Anolis sagrei: one gene and its partners. The protein of the gene in region 2 interacts with the protein of the main gene of each other region in a biochemical or structural test. Links are inferred from orthologs where the notes say so. Each region holds a gene or a part of one and is shown on either strand. Other genes may lie near its edges. The genes, in order: RARA, NCOA6, HNF4A and RXRA.

Evidence for each region.
Region 1: the proteins of NCOA6 (region 2) and RARA form a complex in vitro, tested with the Homo sapiens proteins (3 studies listed by BioGRID). The link is inferred for Anolis sagrei from reciprocal best matches to the Homo sapiens genes NCOA6 and RARA.
Region 3: the proteins of NCOA6 (region 2) and HNF4A form a complex in vitro, tested with the Homo sapiens proteins (2 studies listed by BioGRID). The link is inferred for Anolis sagrei from reciprocal best matches to the Homo sapiens genes NCOA6 and HNF4A.
Region 4: the proteins of NCOA6 (region 2) and RXRA form a complex in vitro, tested with the Homo sapiens proteins (5 studies listed by BioGRID). The link is inferred for Anolis sagrei from reciprocal best matches to the Homo sapiens genes NCOA6 and RXRA.

The regions. Positions count from the first base shown.
Region 1 is NC_090026.1:39,867,747-39,875,482, forward strand, and holds the start of RARA (retinoic acid receptor alpha), read right to left. Parts: upstream 3,133-7,736; 5' UTR 2,993-3,132; coding exon 2,644-2,992; intron 2,638-2,643; exon of another isoform or gene 1,449-2,637; coding exon of another isoform or gene 1,280-1,448; intron 1-1,279. UniProt on the Homo sapiens protein: Receptor for retinoic acid. Retinoic acid receptors bind as heterodimers to their target response elements in response to their ligands, all-trans or 9-cis retinoic acid, and regulate gene expression in various biological processes.
Region 2 is NC_090024.1:210,932,118-210,940,174, forward strand, and holds the start of NCOA6 (nuclear receptor coactivator 6), read right to left. Parts: upstream 3,484-8,057; 5' UTR 3,262-3,483; intron 1-3,261. UniProt on the Homo sapiens protein: Nuclear receptor coactivator that directly binds nuclear receptors and stimulates the transcriptional activities in a hormone-dependent fashion. Coactivates expression in an agonist- and AF2-dependent manner.
Region 3 is NC_090024.1:218,454,604-218,462,586, reverse strand, and holds the start of HNF4A (hepatocyte nuclear factor 4-alpha), read left to right. Parts: upstream 1-4,885; 5' UTR 4,886-5,051; coding exon 5,052-5,172; intron 5,173-7,983. UniProt on the Homo sapiens protein: Transcriptional regulator which controls the expression of hepatic genes during the transition of endodermal cells to hepatic progenitor cells, facilitating the recruitment of RNA pol II to the promoters of target genes. Activates the transcription of CYP2C38.
Region 4 is NC_090031.1:5,343,174-5,351,103, reverse strand, and holds the start of RXRA (retinoic acid receptor RXR-alpha), read left to right. Parts: upstream 1-4,740; 5' UTR 4,741-5,140; coding exon 5,141-5,168; intron 5,169-7,930. UniProt on the Homo sapiens protein: Receptor for retinoic acid that acts as a transcription factor.

The DNA of each region.
Region 1 (7,736 bases), on a different chromosome or scaffold from region 2:
TTGGGGGGGGGGGGGCAGAGGGAATTGCAAAATTTTGCATAGAGAGAAGGGTTGGTTTAATGACCTACATAGGTATGGGAAACTGAAACATTTTCTTTTTTAAATGATCCATGTTGTACATTACAGCATGTTACGCACACAAAGTTCAGAAAGGACCCTCACCCCAAATATGGCCTGTTTCCCCACCACTACCATCCCATTCTCTGCTAGCTCACCCACCCACCCACTCACCCACAGAGAGGCTGTTCGCATATGTATATATAGAAAGATTAAAGGCTTGGTGTACTATTTAGTTAATTGGATTTTGCCGGAGATCTTATCAGAGGCTGGGAACTGAACACCCAGCTGGAAAGGAGGGGAGTTTACTTGGTGCAACTCCTCTCCTCTGTGTTTCCTTCCCCAGATTTGGATCAAATTCATACAAAAATCAATCTATGGAAACATAAACAACTCCTCCCTCCAATGCAAGTCCTCTAATTGTTACCTAGATCAAACTAAACAGACCGTGGGACTGTTTGTCCACCACTGGGGAGTTGGGGGAAGGGACAACATATAAGAGAAAGCAATGGCATACTTGCACTGAGCAGAGACAATATTAGAAGTTTGCACTGTTACAGACCCAGCTGAGAGTATTTTCAATATGGGCCAATGGCAAGGGAGAATTGCTGATAAATAAGGAGGGAGTATCCACCCACATAAACTTGAGCTGGACACCAAAGCATTGTGGAAAAAGTCCTTTCACCTACATATAAAAATATAAGTCACTCTTGTTTGTGGATTTTGCTATTTGGCACCATTCCCTTCACCGACCACTCGAAACACAACCAACAGAATTGGAAATATTCCTTAATACTAACAGATTAAAAGGGAATCCAAAGGTAAAAATTCTCATAGAGAATCTGAAAGCATTTGGGAGGAAGGGGAAAGGAAAGCCATGTGTCTCAACAGGGCATGGTTCTCTCCAAAGCAAAAATAAGAAAAGGACCCAACATGCAGCGCGCACCCCAATACGCATACAACCACAATACAAAAGCACCATTTTATAGCCCCAGCTCTCGATCCCAACCCTCCAATGCAAATCACAACAGGGTAGGCTTTGGGTCTCCCTAAACCAAAGATGACAGATCCCATCCTGCCAACCTCCACCCCACTCAATTACAGGGCAGCTCCTAATCTTTCTTAATAAGGTCACCTCAAAAGCTGGCAAGAGGGGAGAGAGGGCAACGAGGGTGTCACCCCAGCTGGGCCGGGCCCAGGAGGGGGATCGCATTATACGTACAGTGATTGGAACTGTTCCAATGCTGGTTACGGACAGGGGTGCTGTAAGGGTTAGGGTTTCCGGGTCCTTTGTCCTGGATCAAGCAGGCACGGTTCTGGTTGTAAAAATCCATCATGAAGAAGGGGTTAGGACTGTTGCTTAAACCAGCTACATCCACACTTTCGTACATCTTCTCCAGGCAGAACAAGAGGATAAGAAGGTTGGGGGCTTGTGGAGGGTGGAGGGGGATGGGAAGGAGGGAATCAAAGCAAAAGTTTGGTTTCTGAAGGATCGGAGAGCAGAATCCTATACTGGCGACGACGACGAATCCCAAAGAGACAAGGGGGAGGCTTTTTGTCGGTTGTTTTCTGTTTCCTGATCCTTCTCCCCCTCTCCGCCGCCTCTTGATCCCTAGCGGGGAAGTATTTAGGGAATCCAAACGCGGCTGGGGAATCCGCCAAACAGGCCGGGTTGGCCACCAGTGTCTTTGCTTCGAGTTAAAACACACAAAAAAACAAAACAAAAACAAAACCCAAAAGATAATATTCAAGTCTTCAATCTTCTATTCCAGACGCGTCCCTTGGGAAATAGGCCGGCCAATCCAAGCTGAGATGCTGTTTCCCGTTTCGAGACAAAATGTATTTATAAATCCCAAAAAAAGAAAAGAAAAGAAAAAGAAGAGGAATGTTTTACTTTGAGAAAAAAATAATAATAACAAAATCCACTCCGCCTTCCCAAAAACCAGAAGGAGACTCACTGGTGTTAGATAGCATTTTGGTCACATTTCCGCCTCCTGTTCAGTCCCATGGTTCTCTCTCCTTCTCCCAAACTAACAAGAGGAAAGAAAGGAAAGGGAGGGGAAGGAATATCCTTTCGCTTCAGTTTTAAAAAAAGGGGGGAGAAAAAGTTTCACACACACTCATACAAAAAAAAAAGAAGAAGTAAGGCTTCCTGGTAGAAATAAAAGAGCTTTTTCCTGTCCAGCAGATGACTGAATGTAATGCACCGAAAACTGTGCTCATGGGTTATGTACACACATATCTTAAAATTGCATCTCTGTCCCCTGCCAGAGAAAGAGAGGGAGGGAAAGGCGGAGGGGAGGGGAGGAGAGAAAGAGAAGAGATGAATGGTACAAATGTGTTGTCAGGTTTTGAATGCTTGAGAAGATGCCAAGGCCTGGAACCCCCCCTGAATCTCCTTGGTTGCAGATTTCTTTTGGTCCTTCCTTCCTTCTCTCCCTGGGAAAGAGAGGGAAAGAGAGAATGTGTGGGTGCGTGCACGCCTCTGTGTGTGTGTGTGATGTACAGGACTGATAGATTAAAGGCAGCACAAAATCTTTCCTGACACGAAAAGTCGGCTCTGGACTGGCTTAACTCTTTCCTTACCTGCCACGTGCTGTGTCTTGCGCAGCCCCAACCAACTGCAGGGAAGCACAGGATGGGGGAGGAGGAAGAGGAGGAGGAGAGAAAGAGAGAGGAATGAATGAATGAAAGAAAGAAAAGGGGAGGAGGGACGGAGGAAGGGGGGGAAAAATGACAGCCATGGAAAAAAATGCCTCTCCAACAGCTGTCTCCAGCTACAAAGCTGCAGCGCCTGCATCTTCCTCGGGTGCTTTCCCCATCGCTGGAGCGGAGCAGCAGTGGCGGCTTCCTCGGCGAGGAGGACAAGCAGGAGGGCCCCCTCTTTTTTGTATGGCAAGGAACCGGCCCGGGCGGCCCCTTTCTTCGCCTGCATCACCCCTCTCAGAAAGGGAGGTCTCTGCTGCTCCTCTAGCCGCCCCTCATTTGCGTAATGTTATGCAGCTGAACTCCGCCTGAACTCTCCTTGCAAAAAAGCTTCACCTCCAAATGACCCACTCACAGGCCTTCTCCTTCCCTGTGACATCACAGGGGCGCCCTCCTCCTCCTCCTCTTTGCCTGCCAAGGGCTGCCACCGGCATGCCGCTGCTGCTGCTTCGGCCAAACATCACCACACGGTCGAATCCAGACCCACCAGCCAAGGGAGATACCTGGTTATAGGGACCATGGTGCAGAGGCCAGTAAGGAAAGAGGGAGACAAAACCTGCTTAGATATGTTTATAACAAAAAAAAGTGGGATGTAGCCGGGCAACTGACATCTGTACACACGTAGACACACACCTCTGTCTAAGGATGGGGATTTGGATCCAAGATGAGTCAATGTACCTACAAACTCACTAAGGCCGAGTAAGCCGCACCGAGTCCCTCCGGGGAGAGACGGTGGGTTATAAAGATTATTTATTTCTGGTATTTCTACCCTCGTCTCTTCTCTAACCACGAAGGGAGGACTCAGGACGGTATACATTTAGTAAGACACATACCTCTGTCTAAGGATGAGGATTTTGATCCAAGATGAGTCAATGTACCTACAAGCTCACTAAGGCCGAGGTTTTACTAAGGCCGAGTAAGCCGCACCGAGACCCTCTGGGGAGAGACGGTGGGGTATAAATAAATTTATTTATTTCTGGTATTTCTACCCCGTCTCTTCTCTAACCCCGAAGGGGGGACTCAGGATGGCTTACATTTAGTAAGACATACACCTCCGTCTAAGGATGGGGATTTGGATCCAAGATGAGTCGATGTACCTACAAGCTCACTAAGGCCGAGGTTTTACTAAGGCCGAGTAAGCCGCACCGCGTCCCTCCGGGGAGAGACGGTGGGGTATAAATAAATTTATTTATTTCTGGTATTTCTACCCAGTCTCTTCTCTAACCCCGAAGGGGGGGACTCAGGACGGTTTACATTTAGTAAGACACACACCTCTGTCTAAGAATGGGGATTTGGATCCAAGTATGCTGGGGAAAGTGGAACGCAAATGGAAGAGGGGCCGACCAAGGGCAAGATGGATGGATGGCATCCTTGAAGTGACTGGACTGACCTTGAAGGAGCTGGGGGTGGTGACGGCCGACAGGGAGCTCTGGCATGGACTGGTCCATGAGGTCACGAAGAGTCGGAGACGACTGAACGAATGAACAACAAATTTATTTATTTATGGTATTTCTACCCCATCTCTTCTCTAACCCCGAAGGGGGGACTCAGGACGGCTTACATTTAGTAAGACACACATCTCTGTCTAAGGATGGGGATTTGGATCCAAGATGAGTCAATGTATCTACAAACTCACTATGGCTGAGGTTTTACTAAGGCCAAGTAAGCCGCACCGAGTCCCTCTGGGGAGAGACGGTGAGGTATAAATAAATTTATTTATTTCTGGTATTTCTTCCCCGTCTCTTCTCTAACCCCAAAGGGAGGACTCAGGACGGCTTACATTTAGTAAGACACACACCTCTGTCTAAGGATGGGGATTTGGATCCAAGATGAGTCAATGTACCTACAAGATCACTAAGGTCGAGGTTTTACTAAGGCCGAGTAAGCCGCACCGAGTCCCTCCGGGGAGAGACGGTGGGGTATAAATTTATTTATTTCTGGTATTTCTACCCCGTCTCTTCTCCAACCCCAAAGGGGGGACTCAGGACGGCTTACATTTAGTAAGACACACACCTCTGTCTAAGGATGGGGATTTGGATACAAGATGAGTCAATGTATCTACAAGCTCACTAACGCCGAGTAAGCCACACCAAGTCCCTCCGGGGAGAGACTGTGGGGTATAAATAAAGATTATTTATTTAGTTATTTCTGGTATTTCTACCCCGTCTCTTCTCTAATCCCGAAGGAGGACTCAGGACGGCTTACATTTAGTAATGATACAATGTCGCTATATAACAATTACAATAATATAACCAAAATTAAATACATACGCAATCATTAAAACCAGTACATACAACATTAATTAAAACAGTAGAGCAATATGATAGTATCAATTCCAGTCAATGTCCAACTAAAGTGCTCATTATGTCTGCTGCCCAAAAACCTGTCCACAAAACCATGATTTTAATTTTTTCCTGAAAGCCAGGAGGGATGGAGTCGATCTTCTATCGTTTTGGGAATACGTTCCATAGGCGGGGAGCCACCGCCGAGAAGGCCCTGTCTCTCATTCCTGCCAAATGCATTTGCGAAGTAGACGGAAGCGAGAGCAGGGCCTCCCCGGATGATCTTAGGTTACAGGATGGGACGTAGGGGCTCAATACAGGATGCATCCGGTGGCATAGTGGGTTAAAACTCTAAGCTGCTGAACTTGCTGACTGAAAGGTCGGCGGCTCAAATCTGGAGAGCAGGATGAGCACTCGCTGTTAGCCCCAGTTTCTGCCAACCTACCAGTTTAGAAGCATGCAAATGTGAGTAGATCAATAGGTAGCGCTTCAGTGGGAAGGTAATGGCGCTCCATGCAGTTATGCCAGCCACATAGCCTTGGAGGCATCTACAGACATTTCTAAGCTCTTCAGCTTAGAAATTGAGATGAGCACCCCACCACCACCACCACCCCCCGCAGAGTTGGACACAACTAGACTTAATATGAAGGAAAAATCTTTATTTTTTTATTGATATAAATGGATTATATCCCAATATGATAAAGACACACCTACATATCGTGACTCAGTTTGGAAAGCCCTGCACTAAGGGCTGGAGAAATTAGACAGGAAACACACGTTTTTTGATCCATGAAATCTTCTCAACATCAAAACTGGATCAAAGCATAGGTACGCCATCAAGCAAAAGAAGAAATGCAGAAGCAACTGACTCAATGCCTTTTCAGTTAATCTAGACTCCACATTTGCGAGTTTGACTTTTGTAGATATGATTCAAATGTTCTCTCTAGGAATCCCGAGATCCTCCAGGGAATGATTCTATGGTCAGCTTCCAACAGAAATTGACCACAGAGTTATGCTGGAGAACCTTGAAATTCCTAGAGAGGTGTTCTCTCAGTTTTAAAAATAGTATTTTTTTATTCACGGGTTTTTTTCATGGGATCCTGTGCCCTTACTGCCAGTGAATGTGGACAGCTGACTGTAGCAGGTTGGTCCATTTGTCTATCTAGATCACTCATGCTTTCCTTAATAGACAATGGCATTTCAGGGTTACAGAAAGGGTCACATGAAGTCCTATCTGGAGATGCCAAGGACTGAACACTGGCTCTTCTGCAGGCACAGAATGGATCCTGAAAGCTATAGGCCTCTTCTATCAGGAACATGGACCAAAAATATTGTGTGACAACAATGAGTGAGAACTGAACTATGTCTATTTTGCTAAGGTTGGCAGTTTGAATCCACGAGACGGGGTGAGCTCCTGTCTGTCAGCCCCAGCTTCCCACGCTTGGACATGAGAGAAGCCTCCCACAGGATGGTAACACATCTAGGTGTCCCTTGGGCAACATCCTTGCAGAAGGCCAATTCTCTCACACCAGAAGTGACTTGCAGTATATTCTCAAGTTGCTTCTGACACGATTAAAAAAAACTATTTTGTACAAGGATCGAATTTAATACTGTAGTCAGTATCCCAAGGTTCTCTGATGTCACACCCGTCCCATTTTTAGAAGCATAAATGAAAGAAAACAATTATATTTACTCCACAAACTTGGTAAAACAAATTGTGAAAGTACGTGGAATGGTTGGTAAAGGCAGAACGGGGCCTGTGTGAAACACGAAGAGACAGGAGATGTGTTTCATGCATCCTTTTGCTCCTCTCTCATGACTAGCCAAACCAAAAGAAATTAGACAAAGTAAGAAATTAAAATCATGTGTTTTATTTAAACCCTTTATAAATAGGGCCGCTTTTGAATTCATGGTGGAGAGTGCCCCACCGCTGTGTAACAATTGGCACAGATTCTGCAGGAACGTTCTGCAAACAGAACACGTCAGTGATATAGTCTTCACAGATAATTCTTACAACAACAGCAAAAGAAAGCATGTTAGCTTTGCATTCCAGGATCATGACTGAACCCTAGAAACAAGAGATGTTTGGACAGAAGGGGAAGGGCTTATGGAATTATAAATGAATTAAATGCCTTTACTCTGCATGCCATTTCATTCTTCTCTTTACTTTACTCTTGGGCTTCTATGGGCTTATTCGCCTATTTGAAAATACCCCAAATGTCACAAAATACATGCTTCCTTCCCTCACTATACACAAGGTTGCGATGCCTTTCCCATTTCAGCTACATAATTCAGACCACACAAAGTGGGACTAATAAGAATCAAGGATAGTCAAGTGCAACATCAAATGCAACATAGATGCAGATGATTTATGCAAAGCCATGTGCTCTGGACAATACTTTCACATTCAACTCCTCAATTTCAGCCATTCTGCTCCAGAAATCAATTCCTTCCCATTGTTATGTATTGTCTTCCAGTCCTGAATAAGAGCAGAAATTATGGCAGGGACATAAAACCTTTGACCTTTGAGATGTTTAGAAGCTCAAATCTCCAGGAATGTTAGCCGGAATGGTCAATGGCATGAGATCATCATCTCACTCCACTGGACTGTAATCCAAAACATCTGGATGGCCAAAGACCTTCCAGCCCCAAATGACAACATTCTTCTCTAGGAATTGTTCAAGAAGGTGA
Region 2 (8,057 bases):
CGGGACAGAAAAGGGGTTCTGCTCATTGATGTTTTGGAAAGAGATGAAACAATCAATGCTGCAAGATATTGTGAGACCACGAAGAAACCTCACAGAGCCATCCAAAAAAAATGTTGTGGGATTCTGATGGCGGGAATATGTCTCTTTCATGACAATGCATGTCCACACACCGCTTATGCAACACAAGAGTTGTTGACTTCATTTTGGTAGATGTTTTATGCCACCCCACCGGAGCAGTAGCTATTGATCTTCTCACATTTTTATGTTTTTTAACTGCTAGGTTGGCAGAAGCTGGGGCTGGCAGCAGAAGGTCACGCCGCTTCCCAGATTCAAACCTGCGACCTTTCGGTCAACAAGCTCAGCAGCTCAGCGTTTTAACCCACTGCACCACCAGGGGCTCGTATAATCCATGTAAGCTTCATTAAAATATATTCATTCTTTGTATATTTTTTTTCAAAAAATTGTAACCTTACTTTCCAGATATCCCTTGTATGTACATATAGAAACACACACATACATAGGCTTACACTTCCTTTAGGAAGTGTTGGGCAACTTTTTTTTTTTAAAAAAACTTTATTTATATCCACCACCATCTCCCAAAAGGGACTCAGGGCAGCTTACAAAAGCATGTATTAGGCCAGGTTTCATAAACACAGATGTGTAAACATAGATAGTGTCTGCGCTTTCTTTGGAAGGTGTTCAGTGGCTTTAGGCCAGAGACCATATATAAAATACATACATACATACATACAATATATACATACATATATGTACACATAGAAAAAACCCACACCCATACAGGCTTGTGTTTCTTTTGGGAAGTGTTAGGTGACTTTAGACAAGATTTCATATATATAAATACATACACATAGATATGTAAACATAGATAATGCCAGTGCTTATTTTGGAAGGTGTTCAGTGGCTTTAAGTGAGACACCATATTTAAAAATACATACATTCATATATATACACATAGAAACACACACACACTGAGGCTTGCACTTCCTTTGGGAAGTGTTTGGTGACTTTAGGCCAGATTTTATACACACACACACACACACACACACACACGTGTAAACTAAGACTCCTTCCACACAGCTGAATAAAATCCCACATAATCTGCTTTGAACTGGAATACATGGCAGTGTGGACTCAGATAACCCAGTTCAAAGCAGATATTGTTGGATTTTCTGCCTTGATATTCTGGATGATACGGCTGTGCAGAAGGGCCCATAGATCGTATCTGTGCTTCTTTTGGAAGGTGTTCAGTGGCTTTGGGCCAGACACCATATATAAAAATACACACATATATGTAAACATTGATACACAGATAAACACAAACACATCTATATGTCTGCCTTCCTTTGGAAAGTTTTGGGTTCCTTTAGGCCAGCTGCCATATAGACATACATACATACATACATACATACATATAAACACACACACATATATGTCTGTGCTTCCTTTGGAAAATGTTGGGTGTGTTTAAGCCACTTCTCTCTCTCACACACACACACACACATTTATATATGCTTCCCTATATATAAACACAAATATATATGTGCCTTGTGTTTCCTTTAGAAGGAGTTGGGTGTCTTTAGGCCAGACTTCACACATATACGTTCATATATCTACACGGCTTTAGGCCAGTCTCCCTATATATAAACACAAACATATATATGCCTTGTGTTTCCTTTGGAAGGTGTTGGGTGTTTTTAGACCAGACTTCACACATATACATTCACACATCTACACCTTCCTTTGGGTGGTTTTAGGCCAGTCTCCCTATACATAAACACAAACACATATATGTCTTGTGTTTCCTTTGGAAGGTGTTGGGTGTCTTTAGGTCTGACTTTAGACATATACATTCATATATCTACACCTTCCTTTGGGTGGCTTTAGGCCAGACTCCCTATACATAAACACAAACATATATGTGCCTTGTGTTTCCTTTGGAAGGAGTTGGGTGTCTTTAGGCCAGACTTCACACATATACATTCATATATCTACACGGCTTTAGGCCAGTCTCCCTATATATAAACACAAACATATATATGCCTTGTGTTTCCTTTGGAAGGTGTTGGGTGTTTTTAGACCAGACTTCACACATATACATTCATACATCTACACGGCTTTAGGCCAGTCTCCCTATATATAAACACAAACATATATATGCCTTGTGTTTCCTTTGGAAGGTGTTGGGTGTTTTTAGACCAGACTTCACACATATACATTCACACATCTACACCTTCCTTTGGGTGGTTTTAGGCCAGTCTCCCTATACATAAACACAAACACATATATGTCTTGTGTTTCCTTTGGAAGGTGTTGGGTGTCTTTAGGTCTGACTTTAGACATATACATTCATATATCTACACCTTCCTTTGGGTGGCTTTAGGCCAGACTCCCTATACATAAACACAAACATATATGTGCCTTGTATTTCCTTTGGAAGGTGTTGGGTGTTTTTAGGCCTGACTTCACACATATACATTCATATATCTACACCTTCCTTTGGATGGCTGTATGTCACTCTCCCTATATATACATAAATATATATGTGTTTCCTTTGGAAGGTGTTGGGTGTCTTTAGGCCTGACTTTAGACATATACATTCATGTGTCTACACCTTCCTTTGGGTGGCTTTAGGCCAGTCCCCCTATATATAAACATATATTGTGCTTCCTTTGGAAGGTGTTGTGTGTGGCTTTAGGTCAAAAACCTAACATACACGTAGGTTAACACAGATACACGTATGATCCATGTATGTCTGTGTTTCCTTTGGAGGGGGTGTTGCGTAGCTGTAGGCCAGGCTCCGTGTATTTAATACATACATCCACGTCCACACTGCATGCACACCGGTTCCCAAGAGTGGCAGCCCCACTCGCCTCTTGCCTCCCTCCCTGCCTCGCTGGAGCCAAACCCGCCTCCTTCCCCCGCCTCGGGGGTCTCTCCAGGGCTGGGGCTCGGCCTGGGCCTTCTTCCCGGCGACCCCGAGCAGGCCTCAGCGTCGGCCGCCGCCCGTCCTCCTCCTCCTCCTCCATGGCTGTCAGAGGAGAAGCAGCAGCAGCAGAGAGAGAGAGAGAGAGAGGGCCTTGCGTGGCCAGAGAGAGACCCCTTCCTCTCTCTATTACGCCTCACGACTGAGGGAACTCACCTCCCTACTAGGCCCCGCCTCATTTGCACAAATACATACAGAAAGAGAGAGAGAGAAGGGAGGGGGGGAGATACCCCACGCGAGGGACTCCCTCGCCTCACCTGAGGGCGCCGCCGCCGCCGCGCCTCACAGCGCCGGGTCCAAGGCCACTCCGCTTCCTCCGTTTTCTGCTGGGCGCCCGAGGCGAAAAAGGGGCAGGAGGAGCCGAGAGGCGGAACGGAGGGAGGAGGAGGAGGAGGTCAGCCCGAGTCCGAAACTCCGGGGCGCCACAGACCCCCTCCAACCCGGCCGCGGCTCCGCCTCCGGGAGGGAGGGGCGTGGCGGATCACGTGACCCCCCCGCTCGGATGCGCGCGCCTCGCTGGCTGCGCGCGCGCCTCCTCCTGCTTTCTTTTTCCTTTTCTCTTTTTTACTGACTGGGGAGAGAGGCGCGCGCGCCCGCTCGCAGGAGTTAGAGCGCGCGCGCGTGCGTGCGTGCTGCTACTGCTGCTGCTGCGCTCGCGCTCCCAGCCCTATTTTTTTTCCTCCTCTTCCTCCTCCAGAGCAAACCCCCTCCCGTCAACTTCTGCTTTTTTTCTCTTTCTCTCCAAAACACAGGGTGAGCAAACCCAGTCTAGGACTCCACCCCCCCCCCCCTTTCAGTTTGAATTAAAGGGCCAACGACCCCTTCCACACAGATGAATAAAAACTTCACGTTTTCCGCTTTGAACTGGAATATATAGCAACATGGATTTAGGACCCTTCCACACAGCCCTATAACCCAGTATATTAAGGCAGAAATCCCACAATATCCGCTTTGAACTGGGTTATCTGAGTCCACACTGTGATATATTCCAGTTCAAAGCAGATCATATAATCACAGAGTTGGAAGAGACCTCATGGGCCATCCAGTCCAACCCCCTGCCAAGAAGCAGGAATATTGCATTCAAATCACCCGACAGATGGCCATCCAGCCTCTGTTTAATGTGGGATTTTTTTTCAACTGTGTGAAAGGGGCCTCAGATAACCCAGGGCCCTTCCTCACAGCCCTATAATCCAGAATATCAAGGCAGTAAATCCCACAATATCTGTTTTGAACAGGGTTATCTGCTTTGAACTGGGTTATCTGAGTCCACACTGTGATATATTCCAGTTCAAAGCAGATCAAGCTACAAGGCGTAGAGCTTTTTCGATCTATGCTCCAATTCTGTGGAACTCATTGCCTCCATATATTAGAGCAATGTCGGAGTTGTGACCTTTTGCAAAGGCACTCAAGACTTGGCTGTTTGGTTGTGCATTTAAGTAATCGGATCAAATTTTGCCATAGTCACTGCTGAATGTTTTTATGTTGAATGTTTTATATTTAATGTTTTATATTGTGTATAAGCTATTTTAAATTGTAAGTCGCTCGGAGCACTTTGGTGGAGAGCGACTAATTAAGAAATAAAGTGATGATGATGATGATCATGATGATCATGTGGGATTTTGTTCAGTTGTGTGAAAGTAGCCTCAGATAACCCAGGGCCCTTCCTCATAGCCCTATAATCCAGAATATCAAGGCAGAAAATCCCACAATATCTGCTTTGAACTGGGTTATCTGGGTCCACACTGTGATATATTCCAGTTCAAAGCAGATCATGTGGGATTTTGTTCAGTTGTGTGAAAGGAACCTCAGATAACCCAGGGCCCTTCCTCACAGCCCTGTAATCCAGAATATCAAGGCAGAAAATACCACAATATCTGTTTTGAGCAGGGTTATCTGCTTTGAACTGGGTTATCTGAGTCCACACTGTGATATATTCCAGTTCTAAGCAGATAATGTGGGATTTTGTTCAGCTGTGTGAAAGGGGCCTCAGATAACCCAGTGACATACTCATGGGTTTAGTTGGTTAGTTTCAAGATAACATCCATAACAATATGAAAGCATAAAACTATTCAAGAGACATTTTGTGAATACGTACTATAAAAAGAAAACTGTTTTTATTTCAGCCTTTTTGTTATTGGTGTTATTGGGAAAATGCATGAATACATTACATTTATTTTCTGTACAATCAGACTCATGGATGTGATTACAATGCATTTAATGTTATTTATTTTAAATAAAGTGATGCTGTACTGTAAACATGACATACAGTAGCTACATTTGTATTTATGAATTGTCTGTTTTTCAATGTTTACAACATTTTTTAAAAAAAGAAAAAAAACTCCTCTTGCAATTTATCTTCTGATAGAAATAAACAATTGGTTTCCAGCCGCAAAATAAGTTTATGTGGTGGTCCATTCCAGATATTATAATAATTATCTAGATTAACTGAGATTTTGCTTTTTACAATCCAGACATTATTCAACCAAACACTTCATAAGACAATTTGCTGAAACAGTAGGAACACACAAACTGGAACAATCTGCATTTAAACTGTAGGCCTAAGAACTGGAGTAGCCTATTATTTGGTGTCCTGCCATAGCTGGTCAACTAAAGTTCCTATTTAATAGAGGGACTAAGGTGGAAACTTGAAGAGAAGTTCCTATGGGACTGACATTTTAAACTACAGATGAGATGCCCTATTGTTTAGCTAATTTCAGATTCATTATTATGTCTTGTAACTCCAACCATGGGCATGCATTTAATGGACGATGAAAAAAACCATCCTAACTGTCTTTCACCAGTCTAAATCTGAATGCATGTAGGCTTTCCAAACTCCTGATTTAGGCTGTATCACACTTGCTAGGGAGTTGTCCCATTAAATTCAGTGCCAAAAATTATACTTTTACCATATTTTCTGGTGTATAAGACGACTGGGCATGTAAGACAACCCCCAACTTTTACAGTTAAAATATAGAGTTTGGAATATACACGCTGTATAAGACTACCCCTCTTCCAACACACTGCATTTTTTAAAAAAAATATCAGATTTGATTGCAATATGGTAATTTTCCTATTACTGTACTGCCTTCTCTATCTCTCAGATCTCACACATGTGTGCCTGCGCCGCTTCCCTGCAGTCCTCAGGAGCGAGATCTGAGAGCCAGAGAAGGAGGTATGGTAATAGGATACAAGGGCGGGCCAGACGGGTAAAAAAAGGTGTGTTTTTCTGGGCACAGCACCACTCTATATCTTTTTTCCATACCCCGGATGTCCTGGATGTCTGCAGCTTGCTCCGCCCTTCACTTATACCTTCCTGGTGAGGCGCCCCCTCACCTTGTCATCAGAACCGCATTAAGTCACTTCTTTCCACAAATCCTGGTGAGTGGATTTTCTTCTACCTTACTTGCACAGCGCTGCCCTTGCTGCTTGCATATGGCGGGGATGCGGCCACGGCCATTTTTGAGCTTCCCTCACCATATGTGGCAACCACAGATTCTCCAGTCTGGCTCGGAAGTTCCAGCACCCACCCTATAAGAAGACACCTGGCATATAAGATGACACCTGACTTTTGAGAAGATTTTCCTGGTTTAAAAAGTAGTCTTACACATCAGAAAATACAGTAATTAGTGCTATGTTGTATAACCAAAATCATATAGACTATGTTTTTGGTTTTGAAGGGAAAATACAATTGCATCCGAATTTGTTAAATACATTAAATAACTTCTTTCTCCAAGAATTGGTGCATCAACTTTTTAGTATACTTTCAGCTCCATCTTGTCTTGTCCTTTCTTTTCTTTTTCCTTCCTTCCTTCCTTCCTTCCTTCCTTCCTTCCTTCCTTCCTTCCTTCCTTCCTTCCTCACTCCTTCCCTACCTCCCTTCCTCCGTTTTTTAAGAAGCCATATATTTAGCTGTTAAAATATAACACAGAATGAAATAAACTTAAAGACATGAAGTTGAAACATAGCTATTTGGGACAAAAGGGACACACTCCAGTTTACAGCACAATGGAGAACTAAATGTTAAACTTCATGCTATAAAGGTACAACACGCAACCAAATTTACTTCCCCTCCCCCCGCCCCCAAAACCTAAAGTAAGCATACTAGGATGTCTGTATGCAAGCAGCTTTCCCTCCCACACTTTTTTTTTTTGCTAAATTAACACTACCCACACGCATGAGGGCTAAAAATGAGGAAAGGACTTCCTCAGACTCCAATGGAGTAGTTGTTAAAACCGCCAAATAATGACGTGAGTTAGTGGGAGAGAGGATCCAGTAGGATAGTGAAGGGACCTCACCGTGCACAGGTAAAGCACGCCTTATGCTTGCTTCAGAATAAAAAGAAATTAATGTTTAGCTGGTGCCCTTAAAATAGATGTGCAGCCTGACCCTTCCTTTACTACTTCATCTAAAAAGCGCCATTCCATCTTTCATGATTATGCTGTGTTGAGTGTGATGGAAGGAACTGACTCTGGGAATTAGATTTTCTATATACATACAGTCAGCACATGCCTAACATGTAGTTTGTTTGATGTTAGTGGTGCTGTACAAACATTCAAAATCTTGTGTAGGCCATTAGCTATTTACAATATAACAAGTGAATGAGCCCTTAAACAATGAATGATTGTAAACTACATTGAGGTCATTGACTGACTTAAAATTTGGATGTAAAACAAGATCAATGATGGCATCTGCAATACATTAATACACTGACACCTCTTGTTCTATAAGACAACACTTTAGACACATTTGACCTTCTGAGGTTCTGACTTCAACTCACAGAAGAGCCAACCAGTTCTGGACAGAGATATGGGAGTTGCAATCCAAAGAGCCATGGTACTGGAACTGAAGGTAATGGAACTGAAGACAGGTATTTCTAATTCTTTGATTTAGATAGTGTAGAATTAATTGCCTTTTTGTCTTTGGAATACAAGGAGGGAGACCTTGCACTTGCATAAGCTATGCATGTTCAACTAAAGATATATATAGAGCTGTAGTTTCTATGGCTTTGTCAGCACAGTCATGGCTCCAGCAAATAGCAACATCTCCAATCACA
Region 3 (7,983 bases), about 7.5 Mb from region 2:
TTCTCTCACGTGGCTTGTTCTTGGTCTTGCAGCTCTTCTGATGTCTGTGGTGGAGTATCCATTGGCCAGTAAAGCCCAGTTTAGGTGGTTCGGTTCATCTTGGAGGAGGTGGGGTTCATAAATTATTTTTAACTGTCTGCCAGGGTTTTAATTGTGCTTCTTTTTTGACCTGGGTGATAGTTGTATTTAGGGTGACTTGTTTTGGAAAGACGAGGTTAGACCCACTAGCAAAGCACAGCTCGGTTCCATGAGAGTTCAATCCTATGGAGCTCATGGTTGTGCTGCAAAATTTCGTTTTTTGCTGGTCTGCTTTCTGTGTTTCATCTAAAAGATAGAACACCACTGTAGCCCAGGGTGCATCTACACTGTAGAATTAATGCAGTTTGACACCACTTTAACCACCATGGGTCAATGCTATGGAATCCTGGTATTTATAGTTTGTTGAGACAGAGAAGGCTGAAGACCTTGTAAACTACAGCAGGTGGCCCCATTACTGAAGTTACTGCTTCCTTCACATGCTACTTTTGCTTCTGTGTGGCATTTGGAAGTTAGGGGAAACAATGTGTACCTCTTGGGAGGCTGGACTTGGAAGTTTAATTCTGTGGCTGATATATAGTGAAACATTTCATACAAACTAGAGCAAAGGCTAGAATTCATCATCTACAGACTTAGATCATAAAGGCTGTAAACCATGAAATAGTCATGTTTTCTTTATAAAAGTAACAGGTCATAATAATTAATTATTACTGGTTTCTCAGCAGCAGTCCACCTGACACTCCTAAATAATAAATTGATATATGGTTAATAAATTGATAATTGATATATTAATCTTTATTTTTTTACACAACAGCATTTACAGGGGGTCATAAAACCTCACTTTAGCCCAAATCACTGTGTCTATATTGCATTACAGAACTAGAAATGAAAGGAGACTCTGAGAAATAGCATTACAGGACTTGTGTGTAGTTACATTTCGGGGATTTATACCAAATATCAATCAGCTCCTGTTTTCCAGCTAACCTCAGTGGGATTTGAAAAAGTTCTGTAAACTAAATCAGTTTGAGAAGTACAGCATAGCAGAAATCATATACAAAATGATACCTACCAACATGTAATGGAATGGAAGCTGGTTCTGTTTTATGTTAAATGCAATAATAACAATGGTGATGGACCCTGGAGGCACAGCAGGTTAAACCTCTGAGCTGCTGAACTTGCTGACTGAAAGTTCTGTGGTTCAAATCCAGAGAACGGGGTGAGCTCCTGCTGTTGGCCCAGCTTCTGCCAACCTAGCAATTTGAAAACATGCAAATGTGAGTAGATCAATAGGTACCGCTTCTGCAGGAAGATAATGGTGCAGCATGCAGTCATGCGGCCACATGACATTGGAGGTGTCTACGGACAATACCAGCTCTCTGGCTTTGAAATGGAGATGAGCACCACCACCCAGAGTTGAATACTAGACTTAATGTTAGGGGAATCCTTTACCTTTACTTAATGATGGTGATGATGATACACTTTATTTATATTTCGCCTTTCTCTCCTAGTGGACTCAAAGCAGATTACAGCATTTATATACATAGGCAAACATTCAATGCATTTACAGTCATATACAGTGAAGACACACAAACACAAACGCAAAGGCTTCTCCTTTCATTTCCGGCTTCCAGAGGCGGTGCTCATCTATGGCTCTAGGGAGGTGTTTTTCTCCATTTTCAAGCCGACCTTGTCACACAACCTCCTGGTTGCGTGGCCAGCAAGATTGCTTGAAACGTCTCTTTGCCTTTTCCCGCCAAAGCCGTACCTATTTATCTACTCACATTTGCATATTTTTGAACTGGTAGGCTGGCAGGAGCTGGAGCTGACAGACAGGAGCTCACCCCATCGCATGGATCTGAACTGCCAACATTTAGGTCAGCAGTTCAGCAACACAAGGGTTTAACCCATTGTGCCACCACGGCCCCATTAGGGGTTCATGGTATAATAGTAGTCAAGTCAAAGACCAAAGATATTCCATCTTTATCACATTTGAAGCATGGTCTTTCTTTGGAAATTGATTTTATATAGTAAGCTTATACCACAGTAGTTAATAGTATTAAATTCATGTTACCTGAAATTTATCACTTAATAGTATCAGCTGAAAAGCCAGTAATAAGAAACAGCCGTTAATGTGCCACAAAGTAATAAAATAGACATTGCAGCTATAAAGTGTGTATTGCTTTGTGGCATGAGATACAAGTGCCATATAGCCCCAAGGATTAGGTGGGGAAACTAAAATTATTGCAACAATCTAAAAGCAAAGATTTTTGGAGTAAACAAATCTTGTGAAGGCAATCAGAACTTAGAAGGCCACTCAATAAGGTCAGATAAAAGTACAGTTAATGTGAATAGATTTGGTTCTGTAGGCAAAGATCATTTAGGCTTGATTAGGGCTAAATCTACACTGGCATATAATCCAATTTCAGAATGCAGCTTAATTTCATTGAGCTAGATTATATGTCTGTGGAGACTCTCATAATCCAGTTCAATTCAGTTCAACTGTATTCTTAAACTGGATTATATGGCAGTGTAGATCCAGCCTTGGGGAAAGTGAGGCAATCAAGATAGAGCAGAAATCAGCCCCCAGCTGGAATGGCCAAAGAAGCTGAAGGTACAGAACATGTATGTATGTATGTTTGTTTGTTTGTTTGTTTTGACAATCAACACACTGAACTATAGGACAATGAAAGGCACTTCCAATAATACAAACAACATTGGACTAGGGAAAATTTGCTATCTCGGTGAATAATGCAATATGGCTCCCTTAAATATTTCTCATGTATGGTGTCAGCACATGCATCAAAGTTGAAAATGATTTTTCACACACAAAACTGATGAATACTGCAGAATGCAAAGTGGACATACATGGAAAGGCTTATTTGTACATGTACAATATTTTAGTACATCCATGTGTGAGCGTTGAGGTTTGTTGCGCCAGCTCCACTGGCTGCCAGTTTGCTTCTGGGCACAATTCAAAATGCTGGCTTTAGCCTATAAAGCCCTAAACGGTTTCGGTCCAAGTTACCTATCCGAACGTATCTCTCCTTATGAACCATCTAGGATGTTAAGATTTTCTGGGGAGGCCCTGTTCTCGGTCCCGCCTTTCTCGCAGATGCGTTTGGTGGGGACGAGAGACAGGGCCTTCTCAGCGGTGGCCCCTCAACTGTGGAATGCCCTACTTAGAGATATAAGATCGGCCCTCTCCCTCCTGACTTTTTGAAGAAAGGTGAAAACCTGGCTTTTTGAGCAGGCCTTCCCAAAATATGGCATAGTTATACGAAAGCATGGAATTACTGGATGACACAATCGAATAATGACTTGACATGGAGACGCTCATGGTAATGTTTTAAGGCTTTGTACGGTTTTTATATTTTTATATTGTATGCTAATGTTTTTAACAGTATTTTATGATTGTTTTATTTGTTATGATTGTTGAGACATCAAATTGTTGCCAATTGTGAACCGCTCCGAGTCGCCTCTGGGCTGAGAGGGGCGGTATATAACTATGGTAAATAAATAAATAATAAATAAATTCTACCATGTCATTTTCTTTAGATGCCTGAACTGTATTTTTGAATTCTCAACTGAAGACAGTAGTGCAATGCTAGAAATTTGGGGAGTGAAAAGATGTTTCAGGTGGAGAGAAACAGTCCCTTGGTACATCGCAAATAGTGTTTTAACCCTTTCTCTTACACCATTTCCGAGGTCCAGCGTGTGTCTTGAGGAATCTGTAATGCTGACACTATGGACATGAGACAAAATATGATGGCATGGAAGAACAAAAATACCAAGGCTTTTTGCATTTAAGCAGAGATCATTTCAATTGGGAAAGTGGTTTATAGAGCAGGCTAGTGACCTTCAGCAGTGGAGCTGTTCAGCAGTGGAATTCTCTGCCTCGGAGTGTGGTGGAAGCTTCTTCCTTGGAAGCTTTTAAACAGAGGCTGGATGGGCATCTGTTGGGGGTGCTTTCATTGTACTTTTACTGCATGGCAAGGGGTTGGACTAGATGGCCCATGTGGTCTCTTCCAACTCTATGATTCTAATTCTATGGTTCTTCTCAAGCACTACTGTCCTGAGCCACTTTGGGTCTCTCACTCTTACAAGCTTAAAAAAAGATAGAGTAACTTGGGTTTAAATATCTTGCCTCATGTATTATTTGGCCCATATCCCCACAGCAGAGTAGAATAACATGGAAGAGGATGTGTGGCCCACGCAAGGTGTAAGTACAGCAAGGTATCCACCAAATGTACAATTAACCTGTTTTGCATTTGCGTGCCTCACCCTCAAAGATCTGTTTTAGGTAAATGCTGCAGAGTGAGTTGTTTATAGTGAAGTCAGTGCCTGTAAAATCATGGGTTTATGGGGAAGTAAAATGAAAGTCTCACATTGTTCCCATGTATGACAGTGTGTAAATTACAATGCTACTGACCTTCACTAAACAGAGAGACAACAGGGTGTGGGAGAAGAAAGAGAGTGAAAAAGAAATAGATGGAGTAAGAGCAGTGAAATGGCAACAAGGGTAGAAATGTGGTGTTGGGTTTTTCTATATTGCAGATCAATTTGTCTGAGTCGCTCCAGCTTTACCTAGAAATAGTTCTGTCCCAACAACTGTGCATTAGGTACAGCATGTCCTGGGAAGGTTTTGTCCAGATTGTTTGCCCCATTGCACACTTTTTGCACCTGTCCCAGAGCTGAAATCGGCAATGCGCTGCTGACTAGCCCAAAAATAAACAGTCAACAACATGGAAGTGAAGGGGGAGAAAGACAGGAAGAGGGAAAGAAGGACGCAGCAAAGCAGTATGCACTAGTGGGTGAGACGATTAAAGATTAACCCCCCTTGCCTCCTGCCTCCACCCCTCTGGGTAGAATAGGCCTTGAAGCTCAGCGGATCCTTGCAGAGAATTATTTGAAATAAAGGCCAACAGATAGGGAACGCCGGCAAAATCAGTTGGGAGAAGTGGAGGGGCCAATAACCTCTGGCCGCAGATTCACTGCAATCTCGGCAGTGTTTGCTGATGATAATGCGCCTCTCCAAAGCCCTGATAGACATGGAGATGGCAGATTATAGCGCAGCTTTAGACCCAGCATACACAACTCTAGAGTTTGAGAACATGCAAGTCCTGGCCATCGGCAATGGTAAGTCAACTCAGGGCTTTGCCCATCTCTATGAAAATTTGGGTTTTGATGTGGTGAGGTAGTCAGAATTTAGAGAGCCATCAACATACAAGGAGCAATGGCAGCAACTGAATGGGTGGGGAGACTTGTCTTGATTTGTTTCCTTCATTCCTTGACCCAAAGACACTTTTTCCTAGTGGTGGATGTTCTTCTTGACTACTCTAGAGTCTATTGCCTCTTTATATGGCAAGTTTTTGTTTGACCAGCGTTTCACTATGCAGTGACTGGATGACCGTCAAGGGATGGGTGCGGTATAGAAAGCTCAAGGATATTACAGTTTTTTCTTCCATGCTACATACTTGGCTGAGGAAGGCAGAGAAGGTAGCATGAATGGTGAGCTTATGTGGGAAATGAATGCTGTTTAGAAATGGGTGATTGTATCCATTGAGAGGGTTTGGGAAGAAGATGGTGACTATAGTGATTGTGAGGATAGATTATCGTATTTATATCCTGTCTTTGAGCCAGCGTGGTTTAGTGACTTGAGCACTAGACTGTGGAAAACAAAATGCAAGTCTCCACTTGAAAACTCACTGGGTGATTTGGGGCAAGCCACACACTCTTAGCTTCAAAAACCCCATTATAGATTTGCTTTAGGGTCACCAAAAGTCAGAAATGACTTGAACGCACACAACAACAACAAATTTGTTCCCAAGACTGCCATTCAGGTGGGTTGAGAAATATTCCACTGTAGCTTTCTCATTGTACAGGAGCTAACTATGTACTTCCTCTGTATCTATAATTATGTATTTCCCCTGTATCAAAGACATGTTTTTGCTACATTGCCTCCTGGAAGGCTGCAGTGAGAGTAGCGGTTGCTTCAGGATCAAAGAAGGGAAAGACGTGTGATTACAATCTTATGCCTGTTGTCCTGGGAATAAGATCCCCTGAGTACAGTGGGACTTAATTCCAAGTTAAACATCTATAAGATTAGGCTGTGTATTACAAGATGTGCCACTGTATAGTGATTTCACACAATGCCATCTTATGTTTATACGTCTGTCACATTTGGAGAGTGCTGAGAGCATTGTATGTGTCATGTCTGTAAAAGTTACCAAACTTTGTATTTTTGCTCCTCTATACTAGTAATGCCATAAAAGAAAAAACTATTTTGAGAATTTGTATACAGTTAGCCCTCTAGATCCACAGATTCTTCATCTGTGGATTAAACTATCCACAGCCTGAAAATACATATTTCTTTAATCCAACAGCAAACTTTGATTTTGCTGTTTTATATAATCGACAGCATTTTACTGTGCCATTGTGGAGCCCTCAGTGGTGCAATGGGTTAAACCCTTGTGCCGGCAGGACTGAAGACCAACAGGTCGGAGGTTTGAATCCAGGGAGAGCGCAGATGAGCTCCCTCTGTCAGCTCCAGATCCCCATGCGGGGACATGAGAGAAGCCTCCCACAAGGATGGTAAAACATCAAAACATCCGGGCATCCTCTGGACAACATCCTTGCAGACAGCCAATTCTCTCACACCAGAAGTGATGTGCAGTTTCTCAAGTCACTCCTGTCACGGAAAAAAAAACCTATGCCATTGTACAGAATGTGACTTGAACATGCACAGATTTTGTTATCCATAGGGAAAGGTGGTGGTAGTCCTGGAGTCAAACCCCAGCAGATGCCAACAGGCACCTGTATACTGTACCAGTTATTATTTGCACCTATATTATTTTTAATTATTAATTCTAAATAGTGATAAGTGCATATTTGTGTTAGTGTGCTACTTGGTTTCTTATGGTGGTAAGGCTGAGGAATCACACAGGAAACATTGTTCAATCATGCTTTTAACAGCCCTATACTGTAGATCCAGATTATTATTCTTGTGTTATGGAGTTGATAGGGTAGATAGCTGGCTGTGGAGCTAAAAATATTGCCCTCTGAACTCCTGGTAACCATTTTGAGACTGTTTGCAGACTTTTCATGTTTACAGAATAAACCTTTAGATACACCCCATATAGTTTTCAATATCCTTTGCCTGTTTTGTGGATTGGCTGATGCAGTATTTTGAAGTGATCAGATTTTCAGTTGAATATTCTATCTTGCCTTGGGCTAACATGGTTCAAAATATATACGTGGAAAATTTTATGTAAAGAAAAATTTCCTAGTGATGCTTTTAGTACCAGCTTAGTAGATGTCCACAAACTTTAGATATGTCTAAAACTCACCATTGTCCCTAGCCAATTTTGGGGGGAAACTGTTTTGTAGAAGGGAGATATGGGCTAATACAATCGGGCAACTGTTTTGCCTCCCTAGATTTCTTTTGCCCTCAAGTGTTGTTGCTCTTTTCCATTGCTGAAACATTTTGAGAAATGTTTGAATTAATATGACTGAAGAATGTTTATTTAACTTCCGGTCACAAATGAGCCAGCAAATGGCTATGTGTAATTCAGAAGCATATGGTACACTGCTTAGCTCAACTTAACTCAAAAATGTATATCCCATAATCCAGATGTACACAATGTAACATCTTCCAATTGTTTCAAACATCAGTTTCATTGATTCTTAGCCAATATGGCCAAAAACAGCAATTCTAAGAATTGTCTTCCAAAATATTTGATTGGGAAAGGACGGCTACTTCACTAAATTTCTGGAAACCTTTTAGTTTTAATATTTAGGCAAACAGTAAATGTGTAATTTTAGTACTTTTTTCTTGTATCTCTTTAATAAGCACACTACCTTTTTCCTTTTGAATAATAAATGCTATTGCATAGTTTGTTTATTGAATATTACCTGATTATTGTGCTTTGCTTTATTTTGGATGATCTA
Region 4 (7,930 bases), on a different chromosome or scaffold from region 2:
AAGGCATCACAGCATTTCGGTGTCACGCAACACACTTTGCAGAGCTCTTAAAGGTACAAGAGACCCCCTTTATGATAATTTTGGTTGTCAGTTGTACTATTTTTGTATGCATTTTTCTCAGGAACTGAACAACTGTGGAATTTTGGGATTTGTAGTCCCCCTTCCAACCCTTTATTTGGAATCTATACATTTTCCACACTCCAAACTCCAGCATTTCTATGTTCTTCAATACCAGCTGTTAGGAATTATGGGAGTTGAAGTCCAATATGCCCGGAGGGCCGAAGTTTGCCCAGGCCTGCACTACAGCATAGATCCACTAAATCTGGTTGCTGCAGAATTCTGGGGCTTGTAGTTTAGAGGAGGAGCCTTTCATATGCTCAGCCAGATAGGTCCTGAGCTTCACTAAACTACAAACCCAAGAGTTCGGCAGGGGGTCGGGACACCTGGGGGGGGGGGGGGTTGTGAGGGGGTTTCATAGGGGTCGCCAAAGACCATCAGAAAACACATTTCTGATGGTCTTGGGAATCCCTTTGGCATTGTCATTTGGATTTACAGTGCTCTTTGGATGTAGGTGAACTACATCTCCCCTAAATCACTGTCAATCAATCCCAAATCACTCCAGAATTTTCTGTTGGTCATGGGGGTCTCATGTGTGGGAAGTTTGGCCCAATTCTATCATTGGTGGGGTTCAGAATACTCTTTGATTATAAGTGAATGGCAAATCCCAACTACAACTCCCAAATGTCAAGGTCTATTTTGCCCAAGCTCCACCAGTGTTCACATTTGGGCATATTGAGTATCCATGCCAAGTTTGGTCCGGATCTATCATTGTTTTGAGTCCACAGTGCTCTCTGGATGTAGGTGAGCTACAACTCCAAAACTCAAGGTCAATGCCCATCAAACCCATCCAGTAGGTGAACGATAAATCCCAATAACTACAACTCCCAAATGTCAAGGTCTATTTTTCCCAAGCTCCACCAGTGTTCACATTTGGGCATATTGAGTATTTGTGCCAAGTTTCGTCTGGATCCATCATTGTTTGAGTGCACAGCGCTCTCTGAATGTAGGTGAGCTACAACTCCAAAACTCAAGGTCAATGCCCATCAAACCCATCCAGTAGGTGAACGATAAATCCCAATAACTACAACTCCCAAATGACAAGGTCTATTTTCTCCAAACTCTACCAGTGTTCACATTTGGGCATATTGAGTATTTGTGCCAAGTTTCGTCTGGATCCATCATTGTTTGAGTGCACAGCGCTCTCTGAATGTAGGTGAGCTACAACTCCAAAACTCAAGGTCAATGCCCATCAAACCCATCCAGTAGGTGAACGATAAATCCCAATAACTACAACTCCCAAATGACAAGGTCTATTTTCTCCAAACTCTACCAGTGTTCACATTTGGGCATATTGAGTATTTGTGCCAAGTTTCGTCTGGATCCATCATTGTTTGAGTGCACAGCGCTCTCTGGATGTAGGTGAGCTACAACTCCAAAACTCAAGGTCAATGCCCACCAAACCCATCCAGTAGATGAACGATAAATCCCAACAACTACAACTCCCAAATGTCAAGGTCTATTTCCCCCCCAAATTCCACCAATGTTCACATCTGGGCATATTGAGTATTTGTGACAAGTTTTGTCTGGATCCATCATTGTTTGAGTCCACAGTGCTCTCTGGATGTAGGTGAACTACAACTCCCAAACTCAAGGTCAATGTCCACCAAACCATTCCAGTATTTTCTGTTGTTCATGGGAGTTCTGTGTGCCAATTCCATCGCTAGTAGAGTTCAGAATGGTCTTTGATTATAGGTGAATTATAAATCCCAGCAACTACAACTCCCAAATGTCAAGGTCTATTTTCCCCAAACTCCAAGGTGTGAATGTGTGGGCAAGGGAGAGTGTGTGAGGATGGAGGGAGGCTCATGCCAGTGAGTCCCTTCAAGATATGGGGATTCTGTGTGGGAAGTTTGGGTTCTATCCCAATTCCATCGTTGGTGGGGTTCAGAATGCTCTTTGATTGTAGGTGAACTATAAATCCCAGCAACTTCAACTCCTAAATGTCAAGGTCTATTTTCCCAAAACTCCACCAGTGTTCACATTTGGACATATTGAGTATCCATGCCAAGTTTGGTCCGGATCTATCATTGTTTTGAGTCCACAGTGCTCTCTGGATGTAGGTGAACTACAACTCCAAAACTCAAGGTCAATGTCCACCAAACCCTTCCAGTATTTTCTGTTGGTCATGGGAGTTCTGTGTGTCAAGTTTGGTTGAATTCCATCATTGGTGGAGTTCAGAATGCTCTTTGATTGTAGGTGAACTATAAATCCCAGCAACTACAACTCCCAAATGACAAAATCATTATCACCCCTCGCCGAACCCCATCAGTATTCAAATTTGGGCATATCAGGTATTTCTGTCAAAATTGGTCCAATGAATGAAAATACATTCTGCATATCAGATATTTACATGGTTGGGGGTCACCACAACATGAGGAACTGTATTAAGGGGTCACGGCATTAGGAAGGTTGAGAACCACTGCCCTATGAGGAGCGGCTTAAAGAGGAAGCAGCCAAGCCTTGAAACTGCAGGTCCATTCAAAATCTGGCTACCAGTATTAATTAAAACACTCTAAAATCAGGACAGCAAGTAAAGAACAACACTCAAAAAGCAGGGGAACAATCAGGCTCAACTCCCAACAAAGGATTCCTGCAGGCAGCAACCAGCCAAGCCTTGAAGCTGCGAGTCCATTCAAAATCTGGCTACCAGTATTAATTAAAACACTCTAAAATCAGGACAGTAAGTAAAGAACAACACTAAAAAGCAGGGGAATTGCAGACAAGAAAATATCTGGTACATCTAATACCTCCCAACAAAGGATTCCCCCAGGCAGGAAGCAGCCAAGCCTTGAAACTGCAAGTCCATTCAAAATCCGGCTACCAGTATTAATTAAAACACTCTAAAATCAGGACAGTAAGTAAAGACACTCAAAAAGCAGGGGAATTCCAGAAAAGAAACAATCAGAATCACCTCCCAACAAAGGATTCCCGCAGGCAGCAACCAGCCAAGCCTTGAAGCTGCAAGTCCATTCAAAATCTGGCTACCAGTATTAAAACACTCTAAAATCAGGACAGTAAGTAAAGAACAACACTCAAAACATGGGAATTCCAGACAGGAATCAATCAGGGCCATATAATGCCTCCCAACAAAGGATTCCCCCAGGCTGGGAGCGGCCAAGCCTTGAAACTGCAAGTCCATTCAAAATCTGGCTACCAGTATTAAAACACTCTAAAGTCAGGACAGTAAGTAAAGAACAACACTCAAAAATCAGGTGAATTCCAGACAAAAAACAATCAGGCTCAACTCCCAACAAAGGATTCCCCCAGGCAGGAAGTGGTCAAGCCTTGAAGCTGCTAAGCTTTTCAATGCAAATCAAGGTGGTCAATTGCAGCATTTCCACTTGCTTCCAAGAGACAGAGTGGACATCATTCCCCAGATATAGAAACCCAATTTCCCTAGTTTCCAACAGACTTCACAACCTCTGAGGGTGCCTGCCATAGATGTGGGCGAAACGTCAGGAGAGAGTGCTTCTGGAATATTTCCAGACATTGTATTGCCGAAGGCTTTCATGGCCGGAATCACTGGGTTGTTGTAGGTTTTTTCCGGGCTATATGGCCATGTTCTAGAGCAGTGTTTCTCAACCTTCCTAATGCCGCGACCCCTTAATACAGTTCCTCATGCTGTGGTGACCCCCAACCCTAAAATTATTTTCGTTGCTACTTCATAACTGGCATTTTGCTACTGTTATGAATCGTCATGTAAATATCTGATAAGCAGGATGTATTTTCAATCTCTGGACATTGGGAGTTATAGTTGCTGGGATTTATAGTTCACCTACAATCAAAGAGCATTCTGATCTCCACCAGAGATAGAATTGACCTAAACTTGGCACACAGAACGCCCATGACTAGCACAAAATAATGAAAGGGTTAGATGAGCATTGGCCTTGAGTTTGGGAGTTGTAGTTCATCTATCTCCAGCAAGCACTGTGGACTCAAACAATGATAGATCTGGACTGAACTTGGCGCAAATACTCAATATGCCCAAATGTGGACACTGGTGGAGTTTGGAGATAATAGACCTTGACATTTGGGAGTTGTAGTTGCTGGGATTTATAGTTCACCTACAATCAGAGAGCATTCTGAACCTTACCAATGATAGAATTGGGCCAAACTTCCCACACAGAACTCCCATGACCAGCAGAAAATACTGTGTATCCTGATGGAGTTTGGCGACCCCTCTGACACCCCGTCGCGACTCCCCCAGGGGTCCCGACCCCCAGGTTGAGAACCACTGTTCTAGAGGCATTTTCTCCTGACGTTTCGCCTGCATCTATGGCAAGCATCCTTAGAGGTAGTGAGTTTTTTCAGACAGCCTGGAAAACTCACAGCAACCCAATGATTCCAGCCTTCGACAAGAGTTGGCAAAGGCTGGCGAGAGAGGCGACAGTTCCCAGCATTCCTCTTTTTTTTGGTGTGGGGGAGTTTTGGGATTGATAGTCCTGGCCACGACTTAGAGGGATGCCCAAGGTCTAACTTGGGTTTTGTTTGGTGTCCTTCCCTTTTGGCGAGGTTCTTTAAGTCCCCCCCAAAGCGCCTCAATGGCGTCGTCCCTCGCGTTTCCCCCTTCGTGAGTCGGGTCCCCCTTGGAGTTTCTTTTCTTTGGAGACACGCAAGCCACGCGAGCGCGCGCGCGCAGGCGCTCGTGCCCGCGCCCACCCACGAGAGCGCGAGCCCAAGTACTTTTTTCCCTGGGTATTTTTTTCCTTCTTCTTCTTCTTTCTCCCTCTTTTGAGTTCCCTTCTTCTCTGGACGAGTTTTTGGAGAGGCGCAAAAGGGGAGAAAAACAAGGAAAGTCGGCCTTCTTTTCCTTCTTTTCCTTGGACTTTTGTATTATTCCGGATTTTTGTCTTGTTATATTTTAGAGAGAGGGGGAGGGCTTGCTCTGCTCCTAAAAGGCGGACCGAGAGGAGAACCAGAGACCCTCCCCCTTTCCCAAAAAGAACACAACAACAAAACAAGAAACCTCTCCAAAATCCATCTGGCAATGAGTTAAAAAAAAAGCGGCGCAAAGAAGGAGATGGACACCAAACATTTCCTCCCTTTGGGTGAGTTTTTGGGGGGCTCTTCCTCCCCCGATTTTTCCTATATCCTTTAGGGGAAAAAGTGGGGAATCAAGGGGGGAAAAAGAGAGAGAAAAAGGGGGAGGATTGGAGGAGGAAGAGGAGCACCCCAAACAACAACAACGTCAAGGCGAGATGCGTAAAAAGCCGTGCGTAAAAGCGCACGCGTTTGGGGGGCTTGCAAAAAAGCCCCTTTTCCAAGTAAAGCTTTTGGGGAACCCTCCCCCAAAGGGTCCAGTTAGACAAAAGAGGGTCTCAGGATGGTCCCCATATAGGTTATATGCGTCTATGTCTTTCTATAATGGGGGAGTGTCCCTTCTTTCTCGCCATGCCCAATGCAGAGAGAGCAGTTGCTTTCTCCACTCTGGCTCGGCTTGTGGCAATGGAGCCAGGCAGGCCTTGGAAAGGAAGGGGAAAGGGAGCCTTTGGGGGTGTGTGGTTGCGGCTGTCGTTGTGTTCTCGGCCCTCGGTGGTTGCCTCTTGGGTTGACACGGCTTTGGGGGAGTCCCAACTGGCTGCCTCGGCTCAAAGAGTGTTTTGGGGGAGCTCGAAGTTCAGTCGGACGGGAAGCGAGGAAAAGGGTTTGCGCTTTGGAGAGAAGTGGCCCAGAGAGAGAAAGAGAGAGAGAGTGTGTGTGTGTGGACTGGGTAAACTGCACTAGGATCTGGGCCCTTCCTTCCTTCTTTCCTCCTTTCCTTCCTTCTTTCCTTCCTTCCTTCTTTTCTTCCTCCTTCCCTCTCTCCCTGCCTTCTTTCGTCCCTCCCTTTCACTTTATTTCTTTTTCTTTCTTCCCTTCTCTCACTCTCCTTCCTTCCTTCTTTCCTTCTTTTCTTACTCCCCTCCCTCCCTGCCTTCTTTCCTTCCTTCCTTCTTTCGTCCCTCCCTTTCACTTTATTTCTTTTTCTTTCTTCCCTTCTCTCACTCTCCTTCCTGCCTTCCTTCCTTCCTTTTTTCCTTCCATCTTTCTTCCTGCCTTCTTTCCTCCCTCCCTTCTTGCCTTCCTTTCTTCTTTCTTTCCTTACTTCTTTCCTTCCTTCCTTCTTTCCTTCCTTTCTTCTATCATCCCTCCCTTCTTTCTTTCCTTCCTTCTTGCCTTCATTTGTTCCTTGTTTCCTTCCTCCCTTTCACTTTATTTCTTTTTCTTTCTTCCATTCTCTCTCCTTCCTTCCTTCTTTCCTTCCTTTTTCCTTCCATCTTCCTTCCTTCCTTCCTTCTTTTCTCCCTTCCTTCTTTCTTTCTTTCCTTCCTTCCTCCTTGCCTTCATTTCTTCCTTGTTTCCTCCCTCCATTTCACTTTAATTCTTTTTCATTCTTCCCTTCTCCTTCCTTCCTTCCTTCCTTCCTTCCTTCCTTCCTTCCTTCTTTCTTTCTCCCTCCCTTATTTCATTCCTCCATTCCTTTCACTTTATTATTTTTCTTTTTTTCCTTCTCTCACCTTCCTTCTTTCCTTCCTTCCTTTCTCTCTTCTTTCCCCTTCCTCCCTTATCTCTCTTCTTCCACCCTCCTTTCACTCTTCCATTCTATTCCTCTTTCTTCTATTTCTTTCTCTCTCTCCTTCCACCACTCCTTTAACTTGTATTTTTCTATTTATTTATTTTCTTCCTTCTTCACTTCCTTCTTTCTCTCCTTCCCCTTCCTCTCTCCCCCTCCCTTTTCTATTTCTTTCTTCCCTTTTCTCTCACTGTCCTCCCTCCTTTCCTCTCTTTTTCCTCCCCTTTTCTTTCATTCTTTCATTCTTTCTTTCTCTCTCCCCTTCTCCTTCCTTCATTCCCCTCCCTTTCGGTCCCCCTTCCCCTCTCTTTTCTATTTCTTTCTTCCCTTCTCTCTCTTTCCTCTTTCTTTCTTTCTTTCTTTCTTTCTTTCTTTCTGTCTTCCCTTCTCCTTCCTTCCTTCCTTCCTTCCTTCCTTCCTCTCTCTCTTTCTCTCTCTCTCTCTCTCTCACCTTCCTTCCTCTCTTCCCCATCCCCTATTTTTTCTATTTCTTTCTTCCTCTCTCTCTTTCCTTCCTTCCATCCCCTCACTTTTTTCTATTTCTTTCTTTTCTGCTTCCTCTTTCCTCCCCTCTTTGGACCCTTCCACACCACCTTATAACCCAGAATATCAAGGCCGATGATAATCCACAATATCTGCTTTGAACTGGATTATCTGAGTCCACACTGCCATATCATCCAGCTCAATGTGGATCTTATACAGCTGTGTGAAAGGGGTCTCACGTTCTTCCTTTCTTCCCTACCCCTTCCTTCCTTCCTTCCTTCCTTCCTTCCTTCCTTCCTTCCTGGGTTTTATTTTAAGATTTACTTTTGTATGCTTTGAATTGTATAGTTTCCAAAGGTTGTGAGCTGATTTGGGTGTTGTGCCTTGAGTTAAAAGCAAGGTAATAATAGTAATAATAATAATAATAATAATAATAATAATAATAGTAATAGCAATAATATAATAATAGTAATAATATAATAATAATATAGTAATATAATAATAATAATATAGTAATATAATAATAATAATAATGGTAATAATAGCAGCAACAACAATTCCTCCCTCCTTCTACTTTCTTTTTCCCTCCTACTTTCTTCTTCTCTTCTCGTCTTCCCTCCCTCTTTCTTTCTTTCTTTCCTTCTCTCTCTCTTTCTCTTTCCCTCTCTTTCTGACTTCCTTTCCTCCAGTTTTTGGAAGTTGGCATTGGGCGGAGAGTCTCCGAAGGAGGGGAGGAGGAGACTTTTGGAAGCTCTCTGCAGGAAATCCAAAGAA